4 linked regions of the Oryzias latipes genome follow. The protein of the gene in region 4 interacts with the protein of the main gene of each other region in a biochemical or structural test. Links are inferred from orthologs where the notes say so. Each region holds a gene or a part of one and is shown on either strand. Other genes may lie near its edges.

What was found.
Region 1: the proteins of shc1 (region 4) and tyrosine-protein phosphatase non-receptor type 12 form a complex in vitro, tested with the Homo sapiens proteins (2 studies listed by BioGRID). The link is inferred for Oryzias latipes from reciprocal best matches to the Homo sapiens genes SHC1 and PTPN12.
Region 2: the proteins of shc1 (region 4) and csf3r form a complex in vitro, tested with the Homo sapiens proteins (2 studies listed by BioGRID, with this or other methods). The link is inferred for Oryzias latipes from reciprocal best matches to the Homo sapiens genes SHC1 and CSF3R.
Region 3: the proteins of shc1 (region 4) and gab1 form a complex in vitro, tested with the Homo sapiens proteins (2 studies listed by BioGRID and IntAct, with this or other methods). The link is inferred for Oryzias latipes from reciprocal best matches to the Homo sapiens genes SHC1 and GAB1.

The regions. Positions count from the first base shown.
Region 1 is NC_019881.2:13,867,000-13,871,560, forward strand, and holds part of tyrosine-protein phosphatase non-receptor type 12, read left to right. Parts: intron 1-1,260; coding exon 1,261-1,441; intron 1,442-3,187; coding exon 3,188-4,133; intron 4,134-4,561. UniProt on the Homo sapiens protein: Dephosphorylates a range of proteins, and thereby regulates cellular signaling cascades. Dephosphorylates cellular tyrosine kinases, such as ERBB2 and PTK2B/PYK2, and thereby regulates signaling via ERBB2 and PTK2B/PYK2.
Region 2 is NC_019874.2:23,367,464-23,372,024, forward strand, and holds part of csf3r (granulocyte colony-stimulating factor receptor), read left to right. Parts: intron 1-444; 5' UTR 445-546; intron 547-1,443; 5' UTR 1,444-1,456; coding exon 1,457-1,520; intron 1,521-1,631; coding exon 1,632-1,925; intron 1,926-4,386; coding exon 4,387-4,519; intron 4,520-4,561. UniProt on the Homo sapiens protein: Receptor for granulocyte colony-stimulating factor (CSF3), essential for granulocytic maturation. Plays a crucial role in the proliferation, differentiation and survival of cells along the neutrophilic lineage.
Region 3 is NC_019859.2:18,117,856-18,122,416, reverse strand, and holds part of gab1 (GRB2-associated-binding protein 1), read left to right. Parts: intron 1-988; coding exon 989-1,117; intron 1,118-2,521; coding exon 2,522-2,687; intron 2,688-4,561. UniProt on the Homo sapiens protein: Adapter protein that plays a role in intracellular signaling cascades triggered by activated receptor-type kinases. Plays a role in FGFR1 signaling. Probably involved in signaling by the epidermal growth factor receptor (EGFR) and the insulin receptor (INSR).
Region 4 is NC_019874.2:18,333,338-18,339,253, forward strand, and holds the start of shc1 (SHC-transforming protein 1), read right to left. Parts: upstream 3,525-5,916; 5' UTR 1-3,524. UniProt on the Homo sapiens protein: Signaling adapter that couples activated growth factor receptors to signaling pathways. Participates in a signaling cascade initiated by activated KIT and KITLG/SCF.

The DNA of each region.
Region 1 (4,561 bases), on a different chromosome or scaffold from region 4:
TGTCACTCCTGGTAAGAATTTATTGGACCAAAGTGCCTGTTAAGGGTGTTTATAATGAGAACTAGGTAAGAGTTATCTGATTGTGCTGAGAATAATTTAGTTTTCTCTCTTTTGTCTTCAGTCTTTTCTAATGCAATGTGTTGCTTCTTTGGCTTTCACCTGTTCATCTTTAGCAGCCTTCCTTAAAGAAAAAAAAAAAAGAAAAACAAAACTCCTTTAAGGTTTCATTTGTGTTATAAGGAAAGATGAATCCCTTAATGTTGGAATCCATTGGGAGTTATCAGTTTAATGATCAAACACATACTCTGCCTTCACAGAGAAAAGGATCATTAATATGTTTTTTATTCTAAAAACTGTTCTGGTGAAACGACTGGTGAGGCAGCAGGATGTTTTTGTTGGGTGGAAACTCAACTGCAGCTCAGCTAAGATGTGATAATAGACATTTTCCAGGAGCCCCCTACCAGGAACATGTTGATGTTTATACCCCCCAACCCAGACTAACTGGCACTGACGCACACAATGCACCATGAATCCTGTAGAGAACAAGCCAGATGTGGGTTTGGAAAAGTGAAACTTGCAGATTGAGTTTTTATAGCTTAGGAAACAAAAATAGGAGGAAACAAAATAGAAATCCCACCGTTTCGTCTGTCCACAGGCTTTTATCTGTTATCTAACCATTGTGTGCAGCCATTTCTGTATGAACCCCTGTCTCAGACTTGCTTTTAAATTAGCGTACACTGCTAACACTTTGTCTATTTTTATCTTTGCAGGCACATAGGATAATTTAAAAAAATAGATTTTGGGAGGAGAATAGTAATTTGGGTTTATTTATGCATAAGGACTTCTACCTGGGTCATAAATTCACCTGACCAATCTGTAAATATGTTTTTGCGTTTTTGTTACAGTGACAACAAACGTGTAAAATTGAAACACAATTTTTGCATCAGTCTGTGTGAAGGAAAACCTAAAAATATTGGAACAATTGTTTGTTTAAATCATATTTTATATATAATGTTTTAATGTGAAATATAGACATACATCATATTTCTATGATAAAGCTCCATTTCGTTTATTTACTTGGACCAACCTTTCTCAGATTATTGGTTGCAAACTTGAGATATTTACTTTACTAGAAACTATTGTCTTGTTGTGTAACGTCTCTCTGTTTCAACGTGAGCGTGAACTTTTCTCATAAAAAAAATCCTCATTTCAGCTTAATTCTCCTGTTTCCTGATCAAATTTTTCAATCTTTTTGTTTAGTTTCCAGGTTGAGGGCGATGTAAAAGAAGAGATCCTCCAGCCTCCTGAGCCTCACCCAGTCCCCCCGATCCTCACCCCGTCTCCTCCGTCAGCTTTCCCCACGGTCACCAACGTACGTCAGGACAATGATCGCTACCACCCTAAACCGGTCATGCATGTCCTACAGTCCAACGTCACACAGGTGAGGTGGATTTTTGAAGTTCGACCTTTTATCATTTAATATGTTAACACTTTGGTTGAACTAAAACCAGAATCTGAGGATTTATTTCAATGGTCTGCAGAGACTTTGCTGCTCTTGCATCATAAAGTGCAAATAATATGAAGGTTGCAAATGCTGCAAATCTCCAACAGGTATAAGAGAAACTTTGCTGAAAATATCTTCATGGAATCATAAATTAGCATTAGGCTAATATTAATTATTATCCTCGCACAAAACCAAGCACTTCTTTTAAAGAATTGGGGGTTTCTGGGGGATTTCAAGTAAGTTTTAATGTTTTACTCAAGTTTAAGCAACGACTTTAGATGCTTTTTGCGTTAGAATTTAGAAAATAATAATTACCTGGTTATAAATGATACATAAAAGTTATGTTAATAAGATGTATATTTTTGGAAATCTTTGTTACCATATAATCTACATTTTACGTCACAAATTGTGCCTGTTTATGGGATCATTTGCAAAATAGCAGTCAAAAATGTCAAAGATTAGCTCAATTTGGGGTTATAACAAATATCTGAATACTCAGATATTCATGATCTGTTCCGGAAAGTACAAGTAGGATTATTTGCGATGTCAGAGATTGTTGAACTATCCAAACAACACAAGGACGAAGGCAAATGATGTTGTGAAGATTCTGGCTGAAGATGGTATGAATGTTTCATTATAAACAGTGAAATGAGTACTGTACAGACACGGGGTGACAGGCTACTCTGCCGGGAAGAAGCCATTACTCAAAAAAAACACAGAAAAGCAAATAAAGACTTTCATTTTTGGAGACACGTCCTGTGGTCTGACGAAACTAAAATTGGACTGTTTGGCCACAATGACCATCGCTATGTTTGGAGGAAAAAGAGAGAAGCTTGCAGGCCTCAGAACACCATCCCAAGTGTGAAACATGGGGGTGGTAGCATCATGTTGTGGGTTTGTGTTGCTGCTGGATAGACTGGTGCACTTCCCAAAATAGATGTGGAAATATTGAAGCAGCATCTGAAGACATGAGCCGGAAAGTTGAAGCTGGGCCGCAAACGGATCTTCCCTATGGACAACGACCCGAAACATACCGCCAAAATGGTTACAAAGTGGCTGAAGGATAACAAAGTCAATGTTTTGGCCTGGCCATCACAGAGCCCGGATCTTATTCCTATTAAACATTTATGATCAGAGCTGAAAAGGCGTGTACATCCAAGGCGACCTACAGTCACACCAGTTCTGTCAGGAGGAAAGGGCCAAAAATTTCTACCGAATCTTGTGGAAAGAAATCCAAGACATTTGACCCAAACACTGCAGTTTAAAGGCAATATTACCAAATACTTAATAAATGAATGTAAACTTTGATAAAAGTAATTAAAACTTGTCTGAAAAAAAACCCTAGTGCCATAATTCTGAAATTCAGCAAATGGAAATAATTTTGTTAATTGTAACTGACCCAAAACAGGAAATGTTTACTTTGATTTCATGTCTGATGGTGAGAAAAAAAAAGGATATGTGTGTTTATATGTGGTGTATGTAAACTTCTGGTTTCTACTGTACATATAGCAACTATTCAGACAGAAAGATTAAAAAGTAAGAACCATGGTTGGATTTGTGAATTATAGATCCTTGAATCAAATCAGATCGCCATAAAGTAACAATCCATGGCTCTAGCACAAGTGTTCTTTTATGGTTGCAAAAACTGTTTTTTTTATTATTTTTTAATGTTTTTTTTTGCAGAATAAAGACAAAGATGGGCTTCAGAACAAATCTGACCCAGTCAAACAGACCAGTCCCTCAGAGCAGAAAGATGTATTAAGCCGAAACCAACAAACTCAGGTCTCAAATGTAGACCTCAATGACAACTACAACAACAAGTTCTCCTCCACGTCTACAAAGCCAGAATTTGGTCAAAGCCAGACTCAGGCGCCGTCCTCACCCCTCTCCCCGGTCATTGAATGTCCCGGCATTCCTCGGATCGAGAGGAAGCTCAGCATTGAGATTAAAAAGGTGCCGCTGCAGGAAGGACCTCGGAGCTTTGACACGTCTTCTTCTGTCGGAGGAGCAGGCGGACAGGGAGCCAGCTCCTGCAGCAGCGGCTGCATGCTGCAAAGAGGCCAGGCCTTCAAGTCTCGCTCCACTCAGTCCCTACTGACGTCGAGCTCCTCCCTGTCGGAGGATTCGGGCACAGAAGGAGGAGCGCTTGGATGTTTGGAGAGTCACACCGAGGGAAGCGCTTTACCCAGGCCAAACCACCTCCCTGTGAAGAGCGGAGATAAGGTGGAGCCGCGCGAATGCAGCAGAGCGGACGTGAAAACCGGACACGCGTCGTGGACGGAGCCCTGCAACAGCCCCGAGAAACTATTCCCTAAAACCTCTTCTTCCTCTTCCTCTTCAGACCGAGTTGCTCCCTCTTCGTCCTCCTCCTCCCACCTCTCCTCTTCCTCTTCCTCCTCTTCTTCGTCCACCCCTGTTAGGACTGCCATAAGTTTCACCAACCCCTTACATTCGGATAACTCGGAGGAGGATGGGAACGAAGTGATGTCCTGTGAAAAGGAGGCTCTTCATACAAGCGTATCCATGGTGACCACCGTGGTGTCCTCGTCGCTTCTTCAACCAGTCAGAAAGGCGTTGCCTGTCTCTATCGTGGGCCACAGCATTTCATCGCCCACTGCAGCCACTGCAAGTATGTCAAAATGTCACTTTCAGGGAAAGCTAAAACGTTTACTGCCGGTCATTTTTAGGGCAAATGTTTTTTATTTCAATTAAGTTTTAGTTTTAGTTAAGGCACGGAGATGACTTTGTTTTATCATTGCTATAGAAGCACATGGTAGGGCTATTTCCTTAAATCTTAAGCTATCAGCACCCTCATGTCAGAGCACTTAAGGAAAAGGGAAAAAAAAGGCATTTTAACATTTTCTGTCAGAAAGCATGACTGTTGACTAACTGATCGGTGTGCTGCAGATTCTGGTGGGCAAACATCTGCAAAAGCACTCGTGCTCTTTCAGCTTGTATGTGGGAGTGAGTTTGTGAAGGAAAGGTTTGTGTGGGGTTATGTGAGCATGTCTGCTGGGGGAGGATTAGGCCTGCATGGCTCTTGATGAATGCACTTCT
Region 2 (4,561 bases), about 5.0 Mb from region 4:
GCCCAAGAGAGAATTTAACAAAAATGTTGAATTTCTGTACCAATAAAAACATAACATTTATTTATTAATGTAGATTCACTAAGTATTTTTGATTTATTCAATTTATGTCCATTTTTCTGGACATTTTCTTTTGGACATACTAAGTTAGGTTACATTTAGTTTCCATGACTCAATCTGACCTCAGATTGAGACATCAGAGAATTGTAATCTTGTAGGTTTAACTTTTGTCCAGATCTCCAACAGAACTGCTTCTTTGCTACCCTAAATTTGATTTGCAGTAAGTCTATAATTTATTGTTTGATCTTTTAAATGAAATAACTTCAGTTTTTTTTTTTTTTTATGTGTATTACTTCTTTCTTCTTTTTTTTGTTTACTTTTGATTGGTTAGCCATAGGGTAACGTTGCGACATAGTTTGACGTGGTTTCATCTTCATGTTTATGCAGAGATGCAGGAATGCTGTGAAAACATGTCTGGCTCTTGTTGCCAGGGCTTTATGAGCCAGCAAAGCATTTAGGTGAAATTCGTCATTCCCTTCTTGTGTAATGGTGAGTATTTGAAGTAGCCCCCAAAACTGAATGTGCTTTCCCCAATCATGTTATTCTTGAATAGACCTCATATTCAGAAAGTGTATTTTTACCAAGGGATACTAAAATGATTGAATAATGGTTCCCAATACAGGTCATTTATATTTGAATTGCCGTAGCTTTTAACAGCTTTACACTATGAGTCACATTGTTTCAACAACATAATGGTAAAAATAAGAGCATCTTTTGTAAATGTATGTCATAAAGATCCAGTTCCGAAAATTGAGTTTTTGGTATATTTAAGCTGTTCTTGTGCCATTTTTCTGATGATGGAGTTACATCTGTAAAGAAAATTGAGCTTTAAATTGCATAACTAAATTTATTTTTTGTTTACATCCTTGTAAATCAGGAGCAGATGAAAAAATACCATTAGAAAAGTGTTTATAGAGAAAATACACTGGGCGAGCCTGAAGCCCCCTGTTCAGCTCCATTCTGATCCACTTGCAGACAGATCCATGTACGTTTTTGTTGTCTTTGTCCGAGTTTGCATCTGGCTCAAAACTGTACGGCAGGTTAGCTTCAATATTGCCCTCCGTTTTTGTTTCCCCGATAATGTTAGGTTAGGGGTGTGAGGGACTGTAGGACAGTGGGAGAGTGTGTAATTAGATAGCTTAGTTATGGGTGACGGTAAGGGAGGTTGGGGTTGTTCTGCACCAACAGTCCAACCACAACTCAGAGGCAAATTTCTAATGAACTACTGCCGCTCTGCAGAAACTATGCCCTAGTAAACATCACAGGTTTTTATTTGGCAGATTATCACAGAAGTTTTAGCAGCATCGCGAGATTATCAAAGGACTAAAAATGCTTTATAATTTGATGTATATTGATAGTCTGTTAAATATCTGTGTGGTCTTTTAGTAGATTTGCCACAATGATAGTTACATGGATGCTACTGATTGCCATGCTGGTGGCGCTGGTAAACGGAGCTTGGAATGGTAAGTGTTCCTCTCAGAAAGATATATATTCTTAACTCTAGGAAAAACGCTAGCTTTTAGAAGTTTGAACCCATGAAGGAGTGCACATTTAATGCAGCTTTCTGTTTTAAGGTGACAACTTGAATCGCTGTGCAGATGTCCAGTCGTCAAGCCCTGTGGTACCCCTAGGGTCACCAGTCAATGCCACCTGTGTCGTCGACAAGGGTTGCCCTCTTTTCTTGGGACAGGCTGTTCAACTTGAATGGCTTCTTGACAGTGAAGTTATTCCTGGCAGTACTGAGTTCAACAAGAATGAGACGAAGTCCACAGTTGCCATTTCAAGCTTTAATCACACGAAGGCCGTTCTCACGTGCTACATCAAAAACTTTGACCAGATTGTGGGAGGAGTGCAGATCCATGCTGGATGTGAGAAAGAATCCTCTTTTCATTTGTTCAATCAGATGTTTTTATGTGTTTTTCCAGCAAATGCAACCCTTTAGTGTGTAACAGTAGTGGTAAAATATCTGCACACTTAAAATATACAGATACAGTGGTGGACAAAATTGTTGGTACCCCTCAGTTAAAGAAAGAAAGTCCACAATGCTCACTGAAATGACTTGAAACGTTCAAAAGTGAGAATAAATTAAAATTTATTGAAAATAAAAATATCAAAATCAGCCATCACTTTTGTGTTTTTGATTAACAGAATTATTTTAAAAAACAAACTAATGAAACAGGGCTGGACAAAAATGATGGTTCCTCCATAAAAGACTGAGAACTATTCACAGCTATTCACATCACAGCTGTTTTCAAACCCATAATCATTCAGTCTGCCTATTTAAAAGGAGACAAATAGTCATGTTGCTGTTTGGTAAAAAGGTGTTTACCACACTGAACATGGACAACAGAAAGTGAAGGAGAGAATTGTCCCAGGACATTAGAAACAAAATTATAGACAAACATCGTAAAGGTAAAGGCTAGAAAACCATCTCTAAGCAGCTTGAAGTTCCTGTGACGACAGTGGCACATGTTATTCAGAAGTTTGAGATCCACGGGACAGTAGCCAACCTCCCTGGACGTGGCCAGAAGAGGAAAATTGATGACAAATTGAGGAGACCGATAGTTCGAACTGTATCCAAAGAGGCCAGGATAACCTCCAAAGACATTAAACCTTGTGCTATCTTAGATGACCCCACCCTGACTTTGACGTGTTCTTCCTACCATAACAAAGGTGGATAAAGGTGGAAAGATTTCATGTAATCCATGGACACCAGTGAAGATCACAAAGCACTGAAGAAAAAAGGTTCAGAGCATTGTCTAGTGGGTCTAGATGACCCAACTCCCAATGTTAAAGTGCCTAGGATAGCACAAGGGTTACAGGTGAACTCCTAGATCAAGGTACATCAGTGTCAGATCACACCATTCGTCGTTGTTTGAGCCAGAGTGGACTTCATGGAAGATGACCAATGAGGACAACACTGTTGAAAGGAAATTATGAAAAAGCAAGACTGGAATTTGCAAAAAATGCATCTTGACAAGCCACCAAGCTTCTGGGAAAATGTCCTTTGGATAGATGAGACAAAACTGGAGCTTTTTGGTAAGACACATCAGCTCTATGTTCGTATACTCAAAAATGAAGCATACAACCAAAAGAACACTGTCCCTACTGTTAAACATGGAGGAGGCTCAGTTCTGTTTTGGGGCTGCTTTGCTGCATCTGGCACAGGGTGTCTTGAAGCTGTGCAAGGTAAAATGAAATCTCAAGATGATCAAGGCATTCTGGATAGAAATGTGCTGCCTAGTGTCAGAAAGCTTGGTCTCAGTCGCAGGTCATGGGTCTTCCAACAGGACAACGATCCAAAACACACAGCCAAAAACACCCAAGAATGGCTGAGAGAAAAGCGTTGGAATATTCTGAAGTGGCCTTCTATGAGCCCAGATCTGAATACCATTGAACATCTGTGGAAGGAGCTGAAACCTGCCATTTGGAGAAGACACCCGTCAAACCTGAGACAGCTGGAGCAGTTTGCTCATGAGGAGTGGGCCAAAATACCTGTGGACAGGTGCAGAAGGCTCATTGACAAATACAGAAACTGTTTCATTGCAGTGATTGCCACAAAAGGTTGTGCAACAAAATATTAAGTTATGGGTACCATCATTTTTGTCCAGCCCTATTTCATTAGTTTTTTTTTAAATAATTCTGTTAATAAACAACTCAAAAGTAATGGCTGATTTTGATTATGTGATTTTCAATCAATTTTAATTTATTGTTACTTTTGAGCGCTTCAAGTCATTTCAGTCAGCATTGTGGACCTTCTTTTTTTAACTGAGGTGTACCAACAACTTTCCCCACCACTGTATCAATTTCTCCTCCATGATCCATTTCAAATACTTAGCACTTCTGCAAATTGAAGGGTGCCATCCATCCATCACTACCAAGTCCCTGATTAGTTGAAGTTAAACCTGGTACTTTCAACACGCAATCAACGGCAGCGTGTTTGTGCACACAGACCCCGATAATGGTCTTAAAAATGTGTGTGCGTGAAGATTTTGGAACGTGGAAGCCAGAAACACGCTTTTGTGTGAAAGTAGTCTAAGGGAATCTCTTCCTTTTCCACCACATTGGGATGCAGACAAGTTATTTTATATATTGACACCTAAATCCAAAGATGTGTCTTTGGACCAGATCATCAGTCAATCATTCGCTCTTTATCTGTGGTTATTTCAGAATGAGTTTGAAAATGTCCTATTATCCCATCTTTTGAAGTGAACACCTTTAAAACAAATGCTGATGTAAAAATTAAAGTTAATAAATCACACTTTCACATCCTCATCAATCCTCCATTCATGCATTTATTATGTTTTTGTTTGTTCTCTTTATCCGTAGATCCACCAGAAGTGCCACAAAATCTTAGTTGTCAGGCAAACCTTACCAGACCCATCTCTCTGACCTGCAGCTGGGATCCTGGGGAGCTGCAGACGTATCTTCACACATCTTACTCTCTCCATAGTAAAACAAGGTCTGACAAAAAACAAAATTCACACCGAGACAGTTGTGATAG
Region 3 (4,561 bases), on a different chromosome or scaffold from region 4:
CTGTCTCTCCTGCCTCAGTTCTGAGCATGAACTACTTTCTCAGCTGTCAACACACTCGCACTGGGCGGGCCTGGCCTCTCTGTAACCTAAGATCTTGGTCCTTCTGCTCCCCACAGGGTAACAAGATCCAAGATCACTTTGTCTTATACAGAAGAGAGAGGTTCCCTTAACACACCCACTGTCTTTCTTCAACCATTGCTTTATTGCCTATCAGTTAGATGCTAACCCAGCAGACAGGGGGAAATCCGAATTTTATTTAGAAACAGCCTAGGAAAACCAGGTGGAGGTTCTGTAGACTTTTGCTTACCTTTACTGTTGCAGTTTTCACAAGTTCTTGAAGAATCTTGTTTTAGTTCATTTATCAGCTTTGTGGCACTGCAAATGATTTAGCAGTGCAATGATTCAATTTCAAATTTAATGCACTCTGTTTCAACTGTCTGCTTTTACTGGTAATTGTTGCACCTTTTTGTTTTGTTGAAATAAAAACAGAAGTTTTTTTTATTCTCATTTTATAGAACACCGCTGATGTATTCTGAGGTTTTCTGTTGAAAATACTCCCTGAATTCTGTATGTGAAGCTCAAAATCGCAGCTTTTTTTCTTTTTTTTTGTTGCCTTTTTTTTCAGTTAGCTTTTTCTATTAGCTTCTCTTCAGTCTATAAAGTAGAATGAAAAACAAAATAAATCACTTGATGGCCGGCTTTTCTTTATATATTAGGTCGCTGAAATCTTTTGAACAAAGCTTTTGTTCTGAAAATCCCAGATATATATTTCTGCTTCAGGCTTCTGTCCTCTGGCTCTCGCCACTCCATAGAAAGGGTAGCGCTGCTAAAATTTAAGTGCACACAGAAACAAAAGCCCTCCCGGGATACACGGAGTGAAAATGACATAAATAAAGCTTTTGGTCAGCTTGTGGTCATCTGGGAATGAAACAGTCAGTGTGAGAACATGCGTATAACCTTTGGCCTCATTTTTGTGCTTACCCTGCAGGCATGGAAGAAGCGATGGTTTGTTCTTCGCAGTGGCCGTCTAACAGGCGACCCAGACGTCTTGGAGTATTACAAGAATGACCACACCAAGAAGCCTATTCGTGTAATAGATCTCAACTTGTGTGAGCAGGTATTACTCCTTGTTCCATGGGAAACACTCGATTTGTGTTGTGACAGTTTTGCTGTAGATGCAGTGGAGATACTTGCTACGTTCTTTTTCTTTTCTTTCTTAAATGAGGGTTTGTTTAAAGCCTGCTAGTCTAGCTTTATAGTTCATTCCACATTTTTTTACATTTATGTAAGCCATTATATTTGTGAAAATGAACACTTCTTGGGAACTTCAGTATAACTTGGTAGGTAAGGCTGTTTGTATAACTGGGGGTGGGGTGAAGGGTTGATTCGGACTTAACCAGAGATATAGTATCAATTAACTAAGCTAAATAATACACAATATAATCACTATGACTTAGAAATGACTCAAAAAACTAAAATTGCAACAGTAAAGCCTAATTTATTCAAAGTTTAATTGTGTGGCTAAATGTTTTATGGATGAAGAATGAGGGGGGGAAAACAGAAGGAAAACTTCCAAGAAATGTAGGGAAATCTTTACTTTTAGCCATTATAAAGTTGTTTACAGTATGATTATTATTTATATGTTCTATTCATTCAGTTACCTTTTCATGTAATATTGAGGACCAAAAGAATTGGCACACACGAAATAATTAAACATTTATTTTAAAAAAAATCAATAGTTGCATCATCCAGAACTAAGTTCATCATTCTAAAATATTTCAAGTAAAAAGAAAATAGTAAAAACAAACAGCAAAATGTATTAACCACTGGGTAGTTTTTAATTCTAATCATGTTTTCTCACTCCACTTTTTTTAAATACCATTTCTTAGCAGTGACTTAGTACCTGAACATAATGAAAAGGACTCCTAGAAAAACAAGAATAGAGTCTGAGTCAGAAAGTTTCTGGAAGATGTTATATCACAATGCCTAAAATGCACAAAAACCAGTGAGAATCTCTGACAAGTGATGGTAGTTAAAATGGTTCATGGTTACTTGGGAAGCTCTACAAAACATCATGGTAAAGTAAACAACCCCCAAAAAAATTAAAAAACTCAAGTAAAACCACTTGCATACAATTTAAAAACAATTTTGAAACAGTAAATGAAAATGATAAAATCATTATTTTAGCACGTGTTAAAAAACAGTCTGGGGGCAGTTCTGTTTTTTTTTCTTTCTGAATTAGGCTTAAGGAGGAAGTGTAAGTGTTGCCCTTTGCTATGTCCAGGAGCAGCTGATTAGCTGACCCAAGGGACTGGGAGAGAGGTGTGTGCCTGTAAGAGCTCAGAGTTCAGGGCAAGGCCACTGAAAGCATAAAAACAATTAAGTCTCTTAAACGAACAGGCAAAAAAACCAAGACTTGTTCACCAAACTGTATTTTTTGTTATTAACACAGATCAAACTCAGTCACCTTGATACTGAACCACTATGTTGTAAGACAAACTCTGTTGACGTCTCACCCTAGGTTGATGCTGGGCTGACGTTTAGCAAGAAGGATTTGGAGCACAGCTTCATTTTCGACATTAAGACCATCGACCGTGTCTTTTACCTGGTGGCTGACACTGAGGAAGAAATGAACAAGTGGGTTCGCCACATCTGTGACATCTGTGGTTTTAACCCCACTGACGATGGTAAGCGTTGCCCCATAAGTCGTTATTGTACTCCTAACAATTACAAGTCCTGTTACTGTTGTGTCAATGTTCGTTTCAGGGAAGTTGAATACTCTACAGTAAACAAAACTGATTATTGTTAAGCAGAAACAATGTTTTAACATTAGCTATTTTATTAATCAGCCAAAAAAAAACTTAAAAGTCAAAACGACTCCCTAACCATTTGTAATGTGAGTTAAAGAGCAACATGACATTTTTTTTTCCATTTAGCTTTCAGGATTTATTTATTTATGGGAAATTAATAACTCGCTGCTCTAAACTTGAAATCTCCTCAGCAACAGTTTTTTATTCAAAAGTTGTTGTTTGACAATACTTCTTACCATCCTGCACCAGGCCTTTTGTTAGTTTTTGGTAAAATGCATACACAAAGAGCACTGTAACAAGCATTTTTCGTCTTTTAATTGTCTGTAGTATAGGGCAAAAATCGTAATACAAAAGTCTTTATGTGAAAATGAATCTAAAGTTTTAAAAATCCGACTTTAGTTTGCTGGTGCTTTGAACATGTTTTTTTAAGGAGACCTATATGTCCAGTGATATGAGATCCTTGAACTCCTCCACACAGTCAAGCTCCACTTCTCCTAGGAACCCACCAGATGGATGACATTTTAGCTATTTTATTTTTATTGGTAAATATAATCATAGTTCTGTTGTTGTCCATTAACATGTATGAGTTAATGAGCCACTGCTGAATATTTCCAAGTTCTGCTATAAAAGTTGTAAATATTTTCTGTTTGCTATTAGCATAATCAAAGCCCCAAGTACTTTATAAGTCTTTCAGCCCTTTTTTTCTTCTAGTTCCAATTTCTCTTGCTCCTTAGCAGTAAAATGCATCAGCTTTTAAGTGAGGTTTGACATAAGGGACTGCACAGGTTCTTTTTAGAAGAGGACACTTGTCAAAGTTGTCAAGTGACTCATTGGTTATGGTGCTCTGTCATCCTTGCAGCAGCTATGCCTCAAGTTCAGGAAAAAAATACTAACATTGAGCTCCTCTTGAACAGAATTTTTCATATTGGCTCTTTAAAGACGCACAAGCTAACAGACTTTTCAAGGATAAAAATTGAGACATATTTTTTTTTTCAGATAGGCCTCTTTGGCTGTTATTGTAAAAGAATGTCCTTGGCTCTCTTTCTGTTTGCACTTCTCTGTGTGTGAGACCCAGCTCCCACTCCTCTGTAATGTGTGGCCACACTACACGCAGAGCGCTTCAGAGCCGAGCAGATATTAGAGGAAGGAACATTAGGAAAGCTGGAGGAATGGAAGCTCTCAGAGATGGTGTAGGTGGTATAGATTAGTACTTTCACACACATAAAAAAAGCATTCCCCCCTTTTTTTTCTCTGCAGATTCTTACACAAAACCTAAATAGCAAAAAGGAGCGAACACAAGTGCCGGAATTGACTAGAAATGTTTTTATTAACTCAAAACTGCTTTTGTTTTACAACAAAAAATAGGATTGCTTGGATTATAAGCAGTCATCTTTGTTCACATTTTAGGAGAACAACTCAAGCAGACATTTTTTTTAAAAGATTGGAAATATGGTAACTCTCCCTGTTACAAAGCACAGACCTTGGTGAGGAACTGTATTTATCTAGTGTGGGAAGAAAAACAACAAAACATACAGGCCAAATATCCCAACAATCTACAAATGCCAGTGTTTCATGTCATGGTAAAGACTTTTGACTGTTCTGTAGCATAATCCCTCTTTATTTTCCTTCATTTTGCAGTGCTTTTACTTGTGTTTGGTCATTGTCTTTTTGCTTTTTCAATTTAAGCATTATCAACTGAACACATGGTCTCACATTTGGTCCTCTGACATTTTAGTTTCACCCCAAAAAAT
Region 4 (5,916 bases):
GTTTTGTGTCAGCAGTAGCAACAGCTTCTTCAGCAGCTACTTTTCATGAACATGACACCCTCAAATGTGTCATCGGGTCCTGTTTTACTCTCTCTCCCTCTTCCTCCAAATGATTTCATGTCCTCTCTGAATGGCTTTGGCCCTCTCCCTTCCTGCGTCTCCTTCTTCGTCTTCTCTCCTCTTCCAGATGACCTCTGGTGAAGCCTCTTTTCCTTTTTCGGTGCTCTTTCCCCCCTTCTCTCCGTCTCCTTTCTTGTCCTGGAAGTCCTCTCTCCTCCTCCACACAATGTACTCTGCCAGCCTCTGTCTCTCCAGCGCCTCCGCCCTCTCTTGCGCCACCACTTCCTCTCTTCTTTTCCAAATGATCTCTCGCGCCCCCTCTCCCCCTCCCTCGATGGCTCGCCCGTTCTCCAGGCTGTCCCGTTTAACAGAACCTCACTCAAAAAATACAAGTGAGTCCCGTCTGAATGCCTTTTGAACTTAAGGTTTTGGGATGGCTAGAGGCTAGACATGGTCATTACAGACACCCATAGAAAAACAAAGAAAAACCAAACAAAAGTTTGTTTTTAAGACTGGACTCGCAGAGCGGAGCCGGTTCCTGACAGAGGTACCTGATATGGCTAAAAACAAAAGAGCCTGCTTTTGTTTAAGTGTGTTCCCTAAAAATGACCACCAAGTTTCACTTTTTTTTTTTTGTTGTTCTTTTTTTTCTGTTTATTCCTTGAGCACCATTGAATCTTGGTAGGCCTCCTGGGAGATGTTGTCTGACTGGTACAGTGACAGACACTGCAGCACCAAGGTGGTGATGTAACACGGGAGAATGTGGGTCATTGGCTGATGAACACTACTGGTGGGCTCGTTGTGATGGTAATGAAACCTGATTTGTCAGGTTTGATCTCATAATCCAGCTTCAGCAAAGTGAGAGCTCATCAGTGCTGAAGATGAACTCACTCATCTGGGTTCGAAAGAAGCTCAAATAGAACTGACCTTTGTTGTTAACCCAGTGCCAGCTGCTGTCATCTGATTGTTTCGTAGTTCAATTCAATAAAAAGCCCAGATTATAGTTGTTTACCTGAGAGAAGAATGTTGACACTGCCACAAAGTGTATGATATAAAAAAGCCAAAGGCTATATTCCAGGACAGCTCCCTTCCCAACGCAAGGAATAGTCAGATCTCAGCTCTGTCCAACAGACACCTTAAAACACTGCATCTTTCTGCATAGACCAACCTAGAAGGCAAATACTCTTACATTAGCAGTCGCTCACAACAAACATCCCACAAATGAAACAGTCTGTAACAACTTGACCTCAGTGGGAGGCAAATGTACACTTTTAGCCCTGCAGCAAGCTGTCCTGCCTAAACCTTAGTGCTGCTGAGGCACTAGTCATATTTACAGAACATTGACCTTTAGACTTGCAAAAGATGAATAACTTACACAAGGCTGCACATCTGGCACCAACCTTTTAATAATACCAAAAGGAATGGCTTATTATAACATTTGAGAATGCAACTAAGCCAAAAGTATAACGGTCAAGATTGTAGTGGGTGCTGGATGAATGGCAAAAGGAACAGTCGCCTACACCAGTCTAGCACCACAGAGGGATTGTCTAGCAGTTCTAGCTAGCCATCCATCTGGTCTTGGACAAAAAGCACCAAGGAGGATCCAGATATACTCATCCACTGCCAGACAGGCCTGGATGATCTCCAGAAAGCTATAAAGTAGTATGGCTGGAAAAGACACAAAGTCTTCAGATAAAAAGCATGCAGAATAAATTAACAGTCTGTCACACACTTAATAGAACCAAAATTAAGTCCAAAGAGGCTTAGAACGTTCCATAGGCAACACATCCAACACGTGTTAACAGCAGACTAGGAACACCAGTTGTTCCTTCTGAGAGAACTAATAGAGTCGAGTCAACCCTAGCTCTAGGATGTTGGTGCACAAAACACAGTGAAGGTCAGGTGACTGCAGAGGAGACGGCCCTCTACATGAAGAGAAATCCTGAGTCACCAACAGATGAGCGCTGTAATGAACAGACTGTCATAGATGCAGCACTGCTGATGACTGATGATCATAGGCCTCAGGGTCAAACAGCAGCACCCACGGATATGTACAAGTGAAGTCAGAGTGATCATCTAATTCACACAGTCATGCCTGATAGTAGCACATTGAGGACAGATGAACTGAAAAAAAAACATTGGATAACAAACTTTCACACAGACAAAGTTAGAGTTAACAACTATGACCCCTAACACAAAACCCACAAATCATACAAAAGCACAGGCTAATTCTTTCTAAGATGTTACATCTATGATGATCTATGCAACAGCAATGAAACAGCACCAGTTTTTAAAATGAATTTTGAAAAAAAGGAAAAGAGGAACTTTACATCTAGTTCTGTCTGCAGCTGCTTCCCGTTGCTATGGCAACAGACATTAAAAGAAAAGCCCGCCGAGCATGTATGCCGTAAAGTCCCGACAACAGCAGGAATTTTCTGGGATAACTGCTTTGTGGAATCAAACTGAAAAATAGATGAGCCTTTTGGATTTTTTTCCACAGAACGGCAGGATAAAACAAACAAACAAAAAAAATCACAGGCTTTTAGAAGAAGAATACGATTAAGATCAAAGTTTGACTGCTTTGGAGCCACCCATCACACCTAATCAGTGTTGACATCCCACATTGGATGCATGTACGGACTCTAACAGCTAGTCAATCACAAATCATATCAAACAATAATAAAAAAAACCTTTTTCAATTAACAAGGAACACCACACCTTAGTATTTAAAAGACAACTGTTACAAAAACTTGCATAAAAAGCTGAATCTTCTGAGAAACTTCTAAAAGAAATGATTGTATAACATCCTGCAGATCTACAATTATAGAAAATATAAAAATTAGAAGTCGAAAAGAGAGTCTATATTTACAAAAAGTCCTTTAAAAAATGTTTTGTATCAAGTGAGCAACACATTTGCTTCTGTGTTCTTCATTTTTCTCACTAAATATCAAAGCTTCTATAGTTGTTTTTTATTATTATTATTAATAATAAACCATTCATGAAAAGCTGGTTTTCATGTTCCAATAAGAAGAGCCCCAGTGATGTTTGAACAGCCACAGAAAGTCGGATCCTTCGTCCTCTCCTTCCTCTTTCTCTGGCTTTCTCCTCATCCACTCCCAGAAAAATCGCGCTTCCTCTCTGATCCGCTCTTCCGCTCGGTTAATTCACAAAGTCACTGCCGGCTCCTGCCGCTCCTCTCCATCTATCCTCTCTCCTCCGTTTGGCTGCCTCCTCTTTCGTCCCCCTCCTTTGTCACCCTTCCCGTCTCTCAGCGGATGGTGAAATGGCAGTGCTGTCAGGATGGACAATAGCACTCCTTCATTGTACTTCTCTTCTCCCCTCGTGTCTGCCTCTCATGCCCGCTTTCCTTCCACCTCTGTCTGTTTGAGGGGACGAGCATGCTGTCTACCCTCCCCTCCTCCTGTCTGGGTGGGTGATGCTGCCTCCCATTTTCTCGTTCTCTCTTACTCTACCGTGCAGTGCTGCATGCCCCCCTCCCCTCCACCTTCTTCTTTTCCATTCTACTTCCTTCCTGCCCCCCCCCTTCTCTGCAGCCAGAGTCATTTTGAAGTGCACATATGCATGCACAGCTACATACTGCCCTCATGCACATTAATGCACTCTAATGCTCAAGGGGGGGAGATGGGGAAGGAAGGAAGAGGGTGAGTGTGTGTCTCCACGTGCACAGCAGTGCATGCGTGGAAAAACTGGGCTGTTTATGTTGGCCATTCAAGAGTCCTGCCTTCGTGTTTGGTAACTTGAGAAACAGATTTCAAAGACTGGGACAAAGAGACCCCCCTCCCTTCCCTCCTTCAAACCCCACAGCCCTTTAGCCAGCAATTCTGTGTGACAGGAGGTCACTCTGTATAACCTTGATGGAGCCAGATAAACTTAAAAAAAAAAAAAAAGCATGAGTTACATCTGCACAATGAATATGAGAAACACTCACATGACTAGGACACTAAAATATAGAAAGCAGAGAGACCAGAAATTGCCTGTGACAGTCAAGCGGATCTGATGAGAAGTCAGTGTTGCAGAAAAGAGAGGAAACCAGGCATAGAGTGCTGCAAGAACTAAGCAGAGGGGAACAGCAATAAGTCCTCAATTCACACCAAAACAACAAAAAAAAGTGCTTCTAGCTTAAATTTAAGCACCACACCCCTGCCAAGTGCCCCCTTCCATCACCGTGCTTGCAGTATTTACTACTAATGATTAACAGTGAAAAACAGCACCCTCCACCAGCCTGAACCACAGTGGCTTAGAGTTGACACACAATACCTTCAAAATTCCCCCAAAATTTGTGTACCCGTTTTGAGATTTACAGAAAAGGACTAGAGAAGAGACTATTGCAACTTTTTATAAGGTAGACACAGTTATAATGAATCCAGTCTTGCATAATAACTGCGTAAATAATTGAAGCATCTCCTCTCTTGAAGGATATGATTTTCATTTTTCTGAACATTATGCAACCCAGTCCCAAAAGGTCCAAACCTGCAGCCCTGAAAAAAACTTAACCGTAAAGTTCAATTCGTGGCTCATTAAAGCAACTTTATCAAAAGACCTATTAAAGCTGCAAGGGTGAAGGCAGGATTTATTGCTGGACTGCTGTAAACTGCATGTGCTTTTTTTGGGGTAAGACTAATAAACTGACGTCCGAGTACAGTCTGAGGAAAACTGCAATAAATTTCCTTGTGCATATACATGGCAGAGTAATTACTCATGCATGACTACATGCTGACTTCAGACTCTAGTTTTACTTAAATAAGGTAACTCAAGAACAAGCTTTACTTTTATCTGTTACACTGCTGCAGTAGGGAATATGTGTAAAAAGGTCTTTCACAACAAGTTTTTTCTTTTTCAAAATTTATTTTAGAAACAGAATTGTGCCTCAAAGTTAGTATAAAATTATCCTGTTTTATATTTCTTATGTTGTTTAGAAAAACCTTTTAGATAAACAAAAAAAAAAAATCACCTCTGAATACTTTTAACATTTGCAGAAAATCTCTGACTAGTTTAACTAATGATCCAGGATCATTTCATTTAAAATTAATGAATTCTAGAATTATTTGTCGAAGATGTTTTTCAAATCTAATAATTATTTTAGCACAGTAACTAATGCATGTGATGAGATAGAAGCAAAGTTCTTTTTTTGTCCTTTTTTGATACAAATTTAGGCGTTAAAGTTTATTTTAGTCCCAAAATGCAGACAAATATTAGTTTTCTTAAAAGTATGTTCACCATCAGAAACTGGGAGTTCTATGGCAGTTCGATAATTTACCCATTAACTGTACAAGAGAACTGGACTGAGTGAGTGTGACGTAACCCACAGAAAACGGTTTACGGCAACCAAATGAAGCCAATTCAGTCGCCATTTTTCGGCAGTGATTGGTCCAAGTCGGTCCCAGTCTCCATTTCTATGGCAACTACTGTCACTAATCAGGACGCTTGTTGGAAGTCCACACTAACTTTCTTCCACTGAAAGAGGCCTCAGAATCTAACATTTCAAATGTTCGAGGTGGGGGCCAGCGAGAACTGCATGCTGTTACTGAGGCATCTGGTTGGCCAGTTTATAACTTGAATAACTTGCAATGAAGAAATATAATGAAAAATATACAATTAAGATTAGCAAGAACATGTTAAAAAAGGGTATCAGAGCAAGAATGGTTCTTCTGACTAATAGAATTTGACTGAGTCATAATGGTTTATTTCTAAATAGAAGTCTATGGGATTTTGGCTTCTTGGAGCCCAAGGGATCGCTCAGTCCAGTTCTCAAATAAAGTCAATGAATTTACTTTAAACCTTGAACATTTTATTCATCTAACTAAATCACTTACAAAGTTGTATGCACCATAAAAA